Canis lupus familiaris: one gene and its partner. The protein of the gene in region 2 purifies or fractionates together with the protein of the main gene of each other region. This does not show direct contact. Links are inferred from orthologs where the notes say so. Each region holds a gene or a part of one and is shown on either strand. Other genes may lie near its edges.

Region 1 (6,129 bases), on a different chromosome or scaffold from region 2:
CGCAGCTCCGCCCTGCCCTGGGTACCACCCAAAGGATGGGGGTAAGGGGCGGGCAGGACAGGTTCCCAGGTCTCAATGCGGGTTTATCCCATTGTCTCCCTTGTGTCTAGTAAGTGGGCACAGACTCGTGGGCGTGTTGCTGAGAGGCCCCTAAAACTCTCGGCGGCCCCCAACTCCCAAGACGGCGAATTCGGCCCAAGACAAGGGCCCGAGATTTCGCGCTTCCGCGACTGGGACGCGCGTGCCTTACCCTGGCAGCACCTCAGGGCATCCTTCCCGCCAAACGAAGGCAGGCCGACCTTTCTGCAAAGTCGTCTGAAATGCTTCAATAAAAGCCAACCGCTCCCACGTTGGGTGCAAAGGGGGGTGGGGGGTGGCCTGAGTATTAAAAGCCTAGTCTTAGCCGGCCGGGGCCGTGCGCCAGCCCACGCGCTGCCGCGGTTTCCACCGGGTGCACAGTCCACTACTCCTTCTCACGGACAGGCAGCTCACGGAAAAACAATCCTCAGAGAGATTTCTGAATGTGACCTCACTTTCAAAAGAGGAGCATCACACAAGGGCAAGCACGGAAAGACTCGTTTGGCTCGAACTACCCACCTCCCCAACCCTCCCCCGCCCCCCCTAAGAAACTGCGCGGTTAGACTCCGAGTCACTTTCACTGGGATCTGAGGATTTCCATTAAAGGGAAAAGTGAACAAGTGGCAGGATTTTTGCAAACTCGAGCCCCCGGCTTCCGCGGCGGCACGCTCGCCGGTCCCTCCCGCTCGCGCGCGCCCGCGCCCGCGCCCGCGCGCCCCCGCCCGGCCCCACGTTACTTTGATTGACAGCCCGGCCCCGCCGCTCTCCTTCCCACCGACCTTCCCATCCACGGTGCCAATCTCGGCGTCTCGCCTCTTCCCATTGGCTGCTTTCGGCGTCCCGCGGCTCCTCCGGGAACAGTTCCTCACCGAGCCCGGGAGGACGCGGCTGGCTGGGGGGCGGGGGGGGGGGGGCGGAGCGGGGTGGGAGGGGACACCGGGGAGACGGCGGAGACGCGAGCGAGTCGGGTGGGAGCGGAGGGGGGGGGGGGCGGCCCGCGCAGCGCTGCGCTACCATAGGCTGCGGGGAGGCGTCGCGTCAGCGCCCCACGTTGGGCGCCCGCGCGCGATTGGCTGGCGCGCGCTGCCCCGCCCCCCGCGGCCTCCCGGACCCACGTCCCCCGCCGGCTCTGCGCTCCCGCCCCCGCCCGCGCGGGGCTGGGCGGGGCCGGCGCTGGTTAGCTCCGGAGTGTGAAACCGCGTGTTAATGTAACCGGCGCGAGAGGCGCGGGCGGCGGCGGCGGGAGCGGCGGCTGCAGGAGCAGCGGCAGCGGCGAGCACCCTGCGCCCCGCGTCCCCGGGGCGACCGCCGGCGCCACCCCCACCCGCTCACGGCCGGCCCGCGGCGACCAAACCCCCGCCGCGACTACTCCGGACCCGCCCGCGGAGTTTGCCCGCCGGGGAGGGAGGCCGCGCGGCGGAACGCGCTCCTGCTCTTTTCTCCACCGCCTCGCGGATGTCGCCCCCCGGGTCGTGAGAGAACTTTGCGGCGGGCTGGAGCGCCCTGTGCCAAGAGGCGGACGAAGGGAAGGAAAGAAAGAGGGCCCAGGCCGGGGCTCGGAGCGAGAGTCCGGAGCGCCCGGGCCGGCCGGGTGGGGCGAGCGCGCGCGGGGCGCGGCGCCCGGATGCGCCCGGGGCTCGAGGAGCAGCGGGCGGCTGCCGCTCTGCCCGCCGCGGAGTAGCCCCGCCGGGCCCGGAGGGTTCGTGCGACCGCGGAGTCCGCCGAGTGCCGCTGGCTCGGGGCGTGCCGAGCCGCCTCCCGGCGCGCCCTCCGCACTTTCCCCGCCTCGGCGTCCTCCCGCGCTCCTGCTCCTCCGCCGGGGCTGAGGCCGCGGGGCGCCAGGCGCGGACCCTCCGCCGCCCGCCGCCCGCCGCCCGCCGCGGCCCGGGCCGTGCGCCTCGCCGCCTCCCGCAGCCCACGAGCGCCCGGTGACCCGAACGTCGCCAGGTTTGTGGGTGTGGGGTTAGCCGGGGGCGCCGGGCCACCTGCGCCTCGCCCGCGGCCGTGGCCGCGGGGAAAACCCGGAGAGGAGGCGGAGCGGGAGAAGAGCGAAGGAAGGCAGCCCGCCTGGATCTGTTTGCCCGGGACGGGTGCCGCGCACCGGGATCGCCGAGGGGAGCGCGGCCGGAGTCGCCGCCCCCCGCGTCCCCGCCGAGGCAGCGGAGGCCCACGGGCCGGATCGCAGCCCCCGCGCCCTCTTCTCGGGCGCCGGCGTCACCGGCCCGGGTGCCCCGCGATGTGGCCCTGAGCGAGGGAGCCCGCAGCGGCGGGAGCAGGAGCGGCCGGGGCGCCCCGCCGAGCGCGCCTGCGTGCGTGGCCCGCGCGCTCCCCGCGCCCCGGGTTTCGCCCGGCTTCTCGGCTTAATTTTCCTCGGCGGGATTAAAGTTGGAAATTGAGCGGAGAATTGAGTTGCCCGGAAACAGAGCTGCGGCCGCCGCCAGAGCGATGTTCCCGCAGAGCCGGCACCCGGTGAGGCGCGGCGGGGTACGGGGGGGGGGGGGGGGGGGGGCGCGGGGGGGGGGCGGGGCGGGGAGGGGATAGACGCTCGCCCCGCGCGGCAGGGGACGGGTCTCTGTTAAATTCGGGAGGACCACCCTCCCCCCCGCCCCGCGCAAGCCTCTGGGGGTGCAAGGCTGGGGGGGTCTCGGAGCCTCCCTCCTGCGCTGGGGAGGGAGCTGAAACTCCATTTTCTCCTCTGCTCTTGCCCCCCCCCCCCCCGAGTTGATGTCTAGACGGGGCGGGCGGGGGCTCCCGGGGGCGCTGGGGTTCTTTCCCGGAGCGATTTCTCCGTCCACCCCACCCCCTTGCCGAGACGGGTAGGACGCCCCCCCCTTTGTTTCTCGTCTCGCCTATTTACATGTCAATGCGGCCCCCGCTCCGGCGCGCCCGGAGGTGGCCCCGCGTCTCTGGGAACGCGGAGCGTTAGGCTGTTGTTTTTCTTCTCTGGTCCCCGGGGTCATTATCGCCCCCGTGGGGAGGGGGCGGGGGCAACGACGACGATTTGGCCTGGTTTTCCCCGGCCGCCGGGAGCCCCGTCCCTACAGCCTGTGACCCGGGCGCACGCACCGAGCACCGAGGAGGCTCCAGGCCGGGCGAGGGTCCGCTTTCTCCTTCCATCAAGCGCAGAGCAAACTCGAGTTCAGGGCTCGGTTTTCCGCCACTTCTAACTTTATTTTTTGTTTACGTCCCGCCCACTTGTGCTTCCTCTGCCTTCATTGTTTGTCTGTCTCCCCGCATCCCTGTGCCTCGATTCCCCTCGGCGGCCGCCCCCAGACGCCGCACCAGGCTGCAGGCCAGCCCTTCAAGTTCACTATCCCGGAGTCCCTGGACCGGATTAAAGAGGAATTCCAGTTCCTGCAGGCGCAGTACCACAGGTGCGTGTCCGGCCAGGACAGGCGGGCGGGCGAGCGGTAGCCCCGGGGGCAGCCCCGGCACCTCCTCGCCCAGCCGGGGGCGGCGGCGGCTGTACTTAGTCCTCGCGTCCAGGCGGTGGCGTGTGGAGTCGCAGTTAAGACCTGTCATTCATGTTACCCTGTTTCCAGGTTATTCCTGGGCCGTCTCTCCTCTAATCTCCTCCTACTACCATTGTTTCCCTTTTGCCGGTTTGCTGCTGTTACAGGGAGCCTTTTTTTTTTTTTTTTTTTGAGTATTTAGGAGTTGCATGAGAACCGTCAATATTTGCACTTCGTTTATTTATTTTGCAACAGGCTGAGCTGAAACCTTGGTTCAATCGATGCTCCAACCCTGGAGTGCAGGTTTAGGGAGGCAGAGCCAGTGTTGAAATCGCTCTTTGCCATACCAGGGGATTGTGTTGTCTGAGACAAAGTCCATCATGGGAGACCAGGTGCTGTTAGCTGTGCCCATCACTGGTGATGGGGGGGGGAGGGGGGGCGTTAGGTGCAGGAGGAAGCTCCCCTGCCTGGCGTCGTCATTTTGGAGTGGTTTGGGAAGGACAGGGGACCGCAGTCTCATTTATATAAATCCTGGCTTAGTCTCTTCACCTAACTGAGACCTACTTCAAAAGGTTTATAAGTGAAAAGTGATTGTAAAGCGCCCTGTCCATAGTGGATTTTCCAGAACTGTTAGTTTCTTTCCCATGTTCCAGTGAAGTCTTAGCTGATTAGAGCTAAGAAATAACTCTGTAATGACAGCCCTTATTTTGGTCATGCTTGAGAAAAAGTGCACAGATGCTTGGGTGTGAATTTTCTTATTTTGTCAGAGGCTTTTCTGATTGTTGACCTTTTGTCTGCTTGAAGATAATAATCTCTGGAACTTGAGGCATACCTGCTCACACTGTGTTTACCAAGCCGGGAGTAGCTACTTAACATATTTTGGCAGGGATTTAAAAACAAGATTTCAAAAGGGACCAACAATTGTAGAAGTAACTCTAGAGTATAGTTTTTAAATTTGGAGACTGTTTGAGTTGGCATAGATGGGACAGCCTGTGTCTGATGCTGAAAATTGTGCAAAGGCCAGATTTTGGTGGAATCCAGAGGAGCAAACTGGTCCAGGGAAGTAGGAGTGAACAGATGAACAGGAGGAGGATTTGGTCTTCTGAGTAGATCAGGGCTTTTGACAGATTTTTCATTCTTGGCATCTGACCAGGTATGCATCAAGAAGAAAAATAATAGTAGCTGAGTGGAGACGCTGTACTGTTCACCTTATTCCCTTTCCCTATTAAATGCAAGGACAAAGCTTTTGCATGTTTACCTAGATAGTTTATGGCTTTTCCAAATTGGTCTGTGTTTTTACTTGAAGTGCAAATATGTGAGGCAGATGTTAAAACAAGTGACATAATGTTTACATTAAGTTGCCTGTTTTGTTTTTGTAGCCTTAAATTGGAATGTGAGAAACTGGCAAGTGAAAAGACAGAAATGCAGAGGCACTATGTGATGGTAGGTATCAGAGATTAGACTTCTTTCTTTTGCATGTAAGATTAGCAAATACGTGTTCCTAGCATTGCAAAACATGAATTAATGAAATGCTTGATTTTTTTTTTCTTTTTGCAGTATTATGAAATGTCATATGGATTAAACATAGAAATGCATAAACAGGTAAGCTCTATTGAAATCTCGAGTTGAAATGAGAAATCAGTCATTATGATTCTATAAAACTGGCTGTGTCCTCAGTGGTCGGAGGGGGGGGGGGGGGGGGGAATTTGTATGCCCTTAGTTTCTTTCCCTTCCTGTGAATTGGTGGTAGTGTTTTGCAGCAAGAGTTGCTTCTTGACAATTACAGAATCTGTAAGTGACTAGGTGAGAGGTGCTTTGGAAATGTGACCCAACCTGTCTATAGGCTGATAGAAATTGAGTCTCTGAGTTGGCTTTTCTACCTGGATAGATTTATTCTCTGCTTGAAAGATCTGGATATCCCATAGAGTTCTGAAATTCAGAGTAACTTAACGTTTTTTTGCCGGTTGGAACAGCAGTGTGGTCCTGCGGGTGGAGGGGAAAGAAGGATATTCAGGAGTTTCTTAAGCAGGTTAAACATTGTATATGACTAACTGTGGGGTTCTCGTCTTGCTTCGGGGTTGCATAAAGTGACATTCAAGATTAGTGGCTTATTAGCAAACATCTTTTTGAAAACTTTCTCAATTGATGCAGATTTGGAGGTGAAAAAGCATTCTTTTATGGCCACAGCATATGTTGGGAGTCGCTTCAGTCCTAGTGGTTTTAAAAGCATGAAAAGATTAGTGACTGGAAAGCTCTAGCTATGACTATGAGTTTGCAAGTTCCCATAAAATTCACACTTATGGCTACTATAATGGTGTATAAAAAGAGTATTGAGCTGGAACAAGGCACTAAGGACCTCATAAGAGAAGAAAAGCTAAATGATTGCTCAGCCCAAAGGACCCTCGATTGAGTAGTCATTGTCTGCCAAAGAAAGCATTAATGGCAGGGTGTAAGTATTCTGGAGATATGCTGACATTCACTTTTTCATCAAGACGCTGGTACAATAAGTCTTTTAGAAATCGATTGCCTCTTAAAAAATTATCATCAGATGAAGTTGCACAGTTGGACACATTTCAAAGTGCAACAATACAATTCTTAC
Region 2 (6,022 bases):
CCTCTAAGACAATATCCCCCCCCAGAGACCCCTTTTCCGCTCCCAGACGAGGATGGGGCCAGAGAGAACAGGTCCCCCGGAGCCCCACGCTAACATCCCTGAGAAGGCCTAAGTTGCCCAAGCCGCTCTGGCCACTCTCCGGGACCGCAGGCTGCGGGATACAGTGTGCACCTGGCCCTCTGAAATAGCTCGGCAGACAAACCCTGCTGGTGTCCAGCGCCTCACCTCCCCCCACTCTCCATCCTTGGCGTGGGAAAACTTTTAGGGTGCCTCGACCGACCAGGAAACAGCGAAAAAGAGCCCAGCGGACTGGAGACGAGTCTCCGTGAGTGTGGAATTGGCATGAGCCTCCGCGATCCCCCAAAGCTTGGGAAGAACACGCAGGGCTAGAGCCAGAGGCCTCCAGGGAGTTGGGAGCAAGTCCAGAGACGTCTGGGCAACCGGGTTAAACTCGTTGTACACATCGTCAGCTGGCTAGGGCAAACACTCGGGGTGCAGTGCTTTCATTGGTTTGATTTCACTTTGCAGGGAAATCTAACTGGAGGTGGCCCTGAACCCAAAAGCCGTGCCTCGCGTGCATCTGCCCTCGAACTTGCTTGGCCCAGGGGCCCGCCCTGGACAACTCTACGAGGCCCGGATGGCTTCGACTCAGGCGGCCAGGGAAAGAGGCAGGCGCCTGGTGCGACCGGCTCTCCGGCTCTCTCGCGCCCTCTGGGCTTAATGGCGCCAGGACAGCTCCCGGGGGGTTGTCGAAGGTCCGGACAGGGTAGGATAGGGCAGGACAGGAGTAGGGATACTCCGGAAAGGACACGCAATGCAGCTGGCCGGCGTGCACTGCAAAACCGACAAACAGACGGTGCTAGCTAGGAGCAAGTCGCCTCCGGGTTTGCTATTTATGAAAAAATAAACTGCTTATCTGCAAGTAACCAACTCTAGGTCTATTTCACATCTCTGACCCTCTTCGTCTCACCCCTTCCCTACACACAGACACAGACACATACACACACACGCACAGACAACATTTTACCCGTCATAACAAGAAAAAGAGAGAGAGAAAATAAAAGGCTGAGTTTCTTAGGCATAGGGATGTAAAAGAGCCGAGGCTCCTGCCTCCTGACCCTGTGCCCGGCGCGCACGCACCCATAATCCTGCATTTCTCCAACAAGTTGTTTATGGAGTTGCTTCTCTATTTGCCTACACCCCCCCCCCCCCCAAATCCACCCCTCCCTGGTCTCCTTTGCCCCTTCCTCGGTCCTGGCTTGAAAGAGGGGGAGGGGCTCGGGCTCGGGTGGGGGAGGGCGGGCCGGACGCGCAGGGCTCAGGCCGCGGCGCCCCCTCTCCGCCAGCGGCCGCCGCCCCCGGATTATTTATCCGCAAAGTCCCGCGCGCGCCCATTGGGCCGAGGCCCGGGTGTCAGCGCGAGTCCTGGCTCGCCATTGGCCCCGCACACGTGCGGCCTGACTCACGTGCTTCCGGTTTGAAGGCAAAAAGTGTGCCTGGGTGATTTTTTTTTTAAGCGAGAGAGTTTGTGCAAAGATCCGAGCTGTCAGAGATTTGAAAAAAAAAAAAAAAAAAAAAAAAAAAGGCAGCCCCGGCGCTGGCGGAGACGCGCTCTCCCTGCAAAAAAAGCAAAGGCGATTAAAGGCGCTGCCAGCCTCGCGCTCTGGGCACAGCTGAGCGTGACACTCGGGGAAGTAAAACCCCTCACTACTGCCTAGGAAGATGGCTAGACTTTAAAGACTATTTTTTCCCTTTAAGAAAAAAATTTCTTGGAGCTTTTTTTTTTTCTTTTTTTCTTGCTTTCTTTTTTTCTTTTCTTTTTCTTTTTTTTTTTTCCTTCTTGGCCGTGGCTTACTCCCCATTTAAAACAAATCATTGAATCTGGTGGCAGAAAGGAAAAAAAAAAAAAGAAATAGCCAAGTGTCTCCATATCTGGATGTCTACAAATTAGAGAGAGGGAGAGACAGCGAGATCTATCTGCTCGATAAGAGCGAGCGATCCAGGCCAGGCGCCTGGGCTTTTTTTCCTGCACCCGCCCCGTGCCTTCGCTGGGGCTCCGCCGGCCTCCTTCCTCCGCGCACCCCCACGGGCCGCTGGCAAAGTGGGGTGGGGAGCGAGGCGGGGGGGGCGGGGGCCGGCGCGGCTGCCGGGGCGGCGGGGCGGCCGAGCATGGAAGAACAGCAGCCGGAACCTAAAAGTCAGCGCGACTCGGGCCTCGGCGCGGCGGCGGTGGCGGCGGCCCCGGGCAGCCTGAGCCTGAGCCTGAGCCCCGGCGCCGGCGGCAGCAGCGGCAGCGGCAGCGGCAGCGGCAGCGGCAGCGGCAGCGATGGAGACAGCGTGCCGGTGTCCCCGCAGCCCGCGCCCCCCTCGCCGCCCGCGGCGCCCTGCCTGCCGCCCCTGGCCCACCACCCGCACCTCCCCCCGCACCCCCCGCCCCCGCCGCCGCCGCCGCCGCCGCCGCAGCATCTCGCGGCGCCTGCTCACCAGCCGCAGCCCGCGGCCCAGCTGCACCGCACCACCAACTTTTTCATCGACAACATCCTGAGGCCGGACTTCGGCTGCAAAAAGGAGCCGCCGCCGCCGCAGCTCTTGGTGGCGGCGGCGGCCGGAGGAGGCGCCGGAGGAGGCCGGGTCGAGCGTGACCGGGGCCAGACCGGCGCAGGTAGAGACCCTGTCCACCCGCTGGGCACGCGGGCGCCGGGCGCCGCCTCGCTCCTGTGCGCCCCGGACGTGAACTGTGGCCCACCCGACGGCTCTCCGCCAGCCGCGGGCGGCGGCGCGGGTGCGTCCAAAGGCGGGAGCCCGGCTGCGGCGGCGGCGGCGGCGGCGGCCGTGGCGGCGGCGGCGGCGGCGGCGGCGGCAGCCAAGCCTTCGGACAGCGGCAGCGGCAGCGGAGGCGGCGTGGGGAGCCCCGGCGCGCAGGGTGCCAAGTACCCGGAGCACGGCAACCCGGCCATCCTGCTTATGGGCTCCGCCAACGGCGGGCCCGTGGTCAAAACTGACTCGCAGCAGCCCCTCGTGTGGCCCGCCTGGGTGTACTGCACGCGCTACTCGGATCGCCCGTCCTCCGGTGAGTACCCAGCCCGCGGCCGCGCCATGTCTTTCCGCCCCGCGGACGCCCCAGGGCGCCCCGCCGCCGCCGGGCCGGGGAGAACAGACCCGGCCTCGGGTGCTCTCTTCTCTCGCGGCCGCCGCCGCCTCCTCCTCCTCCTCCTCCTCCTCCTCGCCCCCGTCCCGGTCGCAGTCGGGTGTGCCCCCAGTTCTGCGCTCCTGGCCTCTGTGGCCGCCACTCGAGAGGCTGCAGCTCCTGGCACGGGAAGCTCGAGTCCGGCTCGATCCTTCGGCTTGGAACTCCGAGCCCCTCGGGCCTTCTTTGTGTTTTTACCTTTATTATCCTTAAGAAAAACACAAACAAACCCACAACCAGTCATTGATTTTTCTTCCAGGGAGAGGGGTGTTGAGAGCCGGCGGGAAGGTGGGCCTAGTGATCGGGCTCTGAAATCCCGCCAGCCAGGTCCTGCGGAGGCCGCAATGGAGCAAGGCTCTCATCAGAGAAATAATCCTCACCTTGTGTTCATACAAACACAAATACCATGTCGATATTTTCTGAGGAAAGTTCATTTACAGAGAGCTAGATTGGAGAACACACAGAAAGAGAGAGAAAAGCCTTTGATCGCTGTCCCTCCTCCCCAGGCCGGGTAAGCCAGAGAGTCTGACCCGGGTGGGTAGAACCCAGGGAAAGATGGTGCCGGGAGCCCCCCGCTCCTGGTTCTCTGCTGCTCGCAGACAGTGGGAGAGGAGAGGAGACGGGTCAGGCTCCCGCCGGGTCGCGGGGGCTCGGGGCATGATTGGCAGCCTCCTCGGCAGCTTCTTCCTGCCACTCGCACATCCTCCGGGCCCTGCCCCTTACTTCTTTCACTCTTTTCTTCCTCGGCTCTGCCAGTTAGCAGATTTCTCCAGCTATAGGTTGTTTTTCTCGACTGCCTTAGGCCCCTTTTGAGCCTGTCCCTCGAACTTGGAGACCCCGAGGCCGAGGCGTGCGCTGGGGCAGCCCTAGGCCCCCGGAGAGGAGGCTGGGGCCTGCCCACCTTCCGGGGCGGCAGCACGGGGGAGGCCGGTGGGCTCATCGAGGAGGACGGCAGGGGTCTGGCCTACAGCTGGCGTTGCGGGCACCGGGTCCGGTAGGAGGCCGGGCACAGCGTAGCCCCGCGCCGCTCTGCTCCGGCTGGTGTCTAGCCTCCCCACGGCTGCCGGCCGGGCGCGGATCGATGCGCGCTATCAGCCCCCGCCATCTCGAGCCCCGTTATTGACACGTCGGGCTCCCTGAACCTCCGAAAAGCTGCTTTGATTGACTCGCCTGATGGATAGAGTGATTGAGCTGTCAGGCTGTGAGGCTCAGGCCGGCCGGGAGGCTACGATTTTATTACAAGTGTCCGCGCCTCTGCACACACATACACAACACTCTCACAAACGTCGGGGACGCACAACGCACAGCGGGGCCTTTCTGGAGATGTACACATCCTTGCCCGCTCAGCTAATTGCTAATCTAAACCGAGGCCGCCCTTCCTCCCCACCCCACCTCTCAGTCCTCTCTGCACCCAGCTTAGGAGCCGGCCTTGCCTTTGTTCTTGGCTGCTTTCTCTCTTCGGTGCCTGGGGAGGCAGGGTACTGGCTCCTCCTGCATGGGCAGTTCACGGAGATGAACCTCAACCCAGACCTGAGTCGCTGCAGTCAGCCAGGCCTGGACTCTTTTGTCACAGGACAGCTAGTAACCCCAGGCTCTGGTCGGCCCCTGGAGCCAGCAGCCCAGCTTGCCCTTCTGTTGCTAGGTTTGGAGATGCTGGTGAAGACCCTTCTTTCCAGACAGTTTCAGATATTAAAAGGCACGACAGGGACTTAACTTGGCTCAGGAAGCTCCCATAACCAGGGCAGGGCCCGCCAAGTAAATGCCTAAATGCTGGAGGACTTGGGTCTGAGGCTGATGGACAGAGGTTCTGGCTTTCAAAGCTGCCTCCTCTTTCCCCCTCCTCTCTCCAGATCTGGACTCCATAGCAGCTTTCTTCTCAGACTAGGTTTTGGGAGAGACTTCACCTTCTTGGGGAGGTTTGCTGGGGCCTCTTCCCATATCCATCTGTGATGCAAAGCACAGATTTCTGTCCCTGTTGTCCCTCTGTCTCTTGACCTCTGCCCATAGTTTGCTCCTGAATGGGGGGTGGGGAGGAGGGATGTAGCCTCCTTGCAAATGTCATAGATGGGCAGGGGAAGCGGATCTGGCCTGTTTTTGTTATACAGGACTTTTCAATCCTGAAAACTGTAGTTTACGTGTTCAAAAGACAGAGAGAAGAGAGACCGTGCCTGCGCAGCCGGGTAGAGGAATGGGGACAGTGGGCTCTTTCTTACTGGCACCATCCAAGGGGCAAAGCAAGCAGAGAACCCTTGGGGCCAGCCAGGGTCATGTGGGTAAGATGTGTAACTGGGTGAAAGCCTTTCCCCCTCCCTTCAGAGAAAGGGGTGCTTAGTGTCTCCCTGGGACCCTAGAAAGGGCTTCCTTTAGGCCAAAGAGAAAGGAGAGGCACAGAGAACATACGGCCGAAGATCTAGGCAAGCCCCTCACCGTCCCCTTGTTTTCTGGGGTCAATAGCTATAAGCAGATGGGGTCTTATTTTAAGTTCTGGGTGGAGGTGCACATCTTGAGAAGGCAGCTGGAGGATTCCTTTGCAGGCTGGCAATATCCTCAGGGCAGTCCTGCCCCGGTGTCTTCACTGGCCCGGTCTTGAGCCTCTTTTTATTCCAGGGCTGTGAAGACAGCAGGCCCCTGACCTCCAACTCTGGGATCCACCGGACGGGGCTCCGAATGAATGTCTCTCCATCTTGGATTGTGGGATTTAAGTCTGGCCCGCGGCTCTCTGAATTGGGGTGTGGGGTGCACAGACAGCCGTGGCCGGTTTTCCTCCGCGGCTTCTGGTCCCCCAGAAGGGGAGTCGGCCGACCCCAGCGGCCAGGCGATTGCTCTCGGGGCTGG

Evidence for each region.
Region 1: the proteins of EN1 (region 2) and TLE1 purify together in Homo sapiens (affinity purification with western blotting; 4 studies listed by BioGRID and IntAct, with this or other methods). This does not show direct contact. The link is inferred for Canis lupus familiaris from reciprocal best matches to the Homo sapiens genes EN1 and TLE1.

What each region holds. Positions count from the first base shown.
Region 1 is NC_049222.1:78,171,904-78,178,032, forward strand, and holds the start of TLE1 (transducin-like enhancer protein 1), read left to right. Parts: upstream 1-2,295; 5' UTR 2,296-2,523; coding exon 2,524-2,547; intron 2,548-3,351; coding exon 3,352-3,452; intron 3,453-4,909; coding exon 4,910-4,973; intron 4,974-5,087; coding exon 5,088-5,132; intron 5,133-6,129. UniProt on the Homo sapiens protein: Transcriptional corepressor that binds to a number of transcription factors. Inhibits NF-kappa-B-regulated gene expression. Inhibits the transcriptional activation mediated by FOXA2, and by CTNNB1 and TCF family members in Wnt signaling.
Region 2 is NC_049240.1:32,546,528-32,552,549, forward strand, and holds the start of EN1 (homeobox protein engrailed-1), read left to right. Parts: upstream 1-2,169; coding exon 2,170-3,070; intron 3,071-6,022. UniProt on the Homo sapiens protein: Required for proper formation of the apical ectodermal ridge and correct dorsal-ventral patterning in the limb.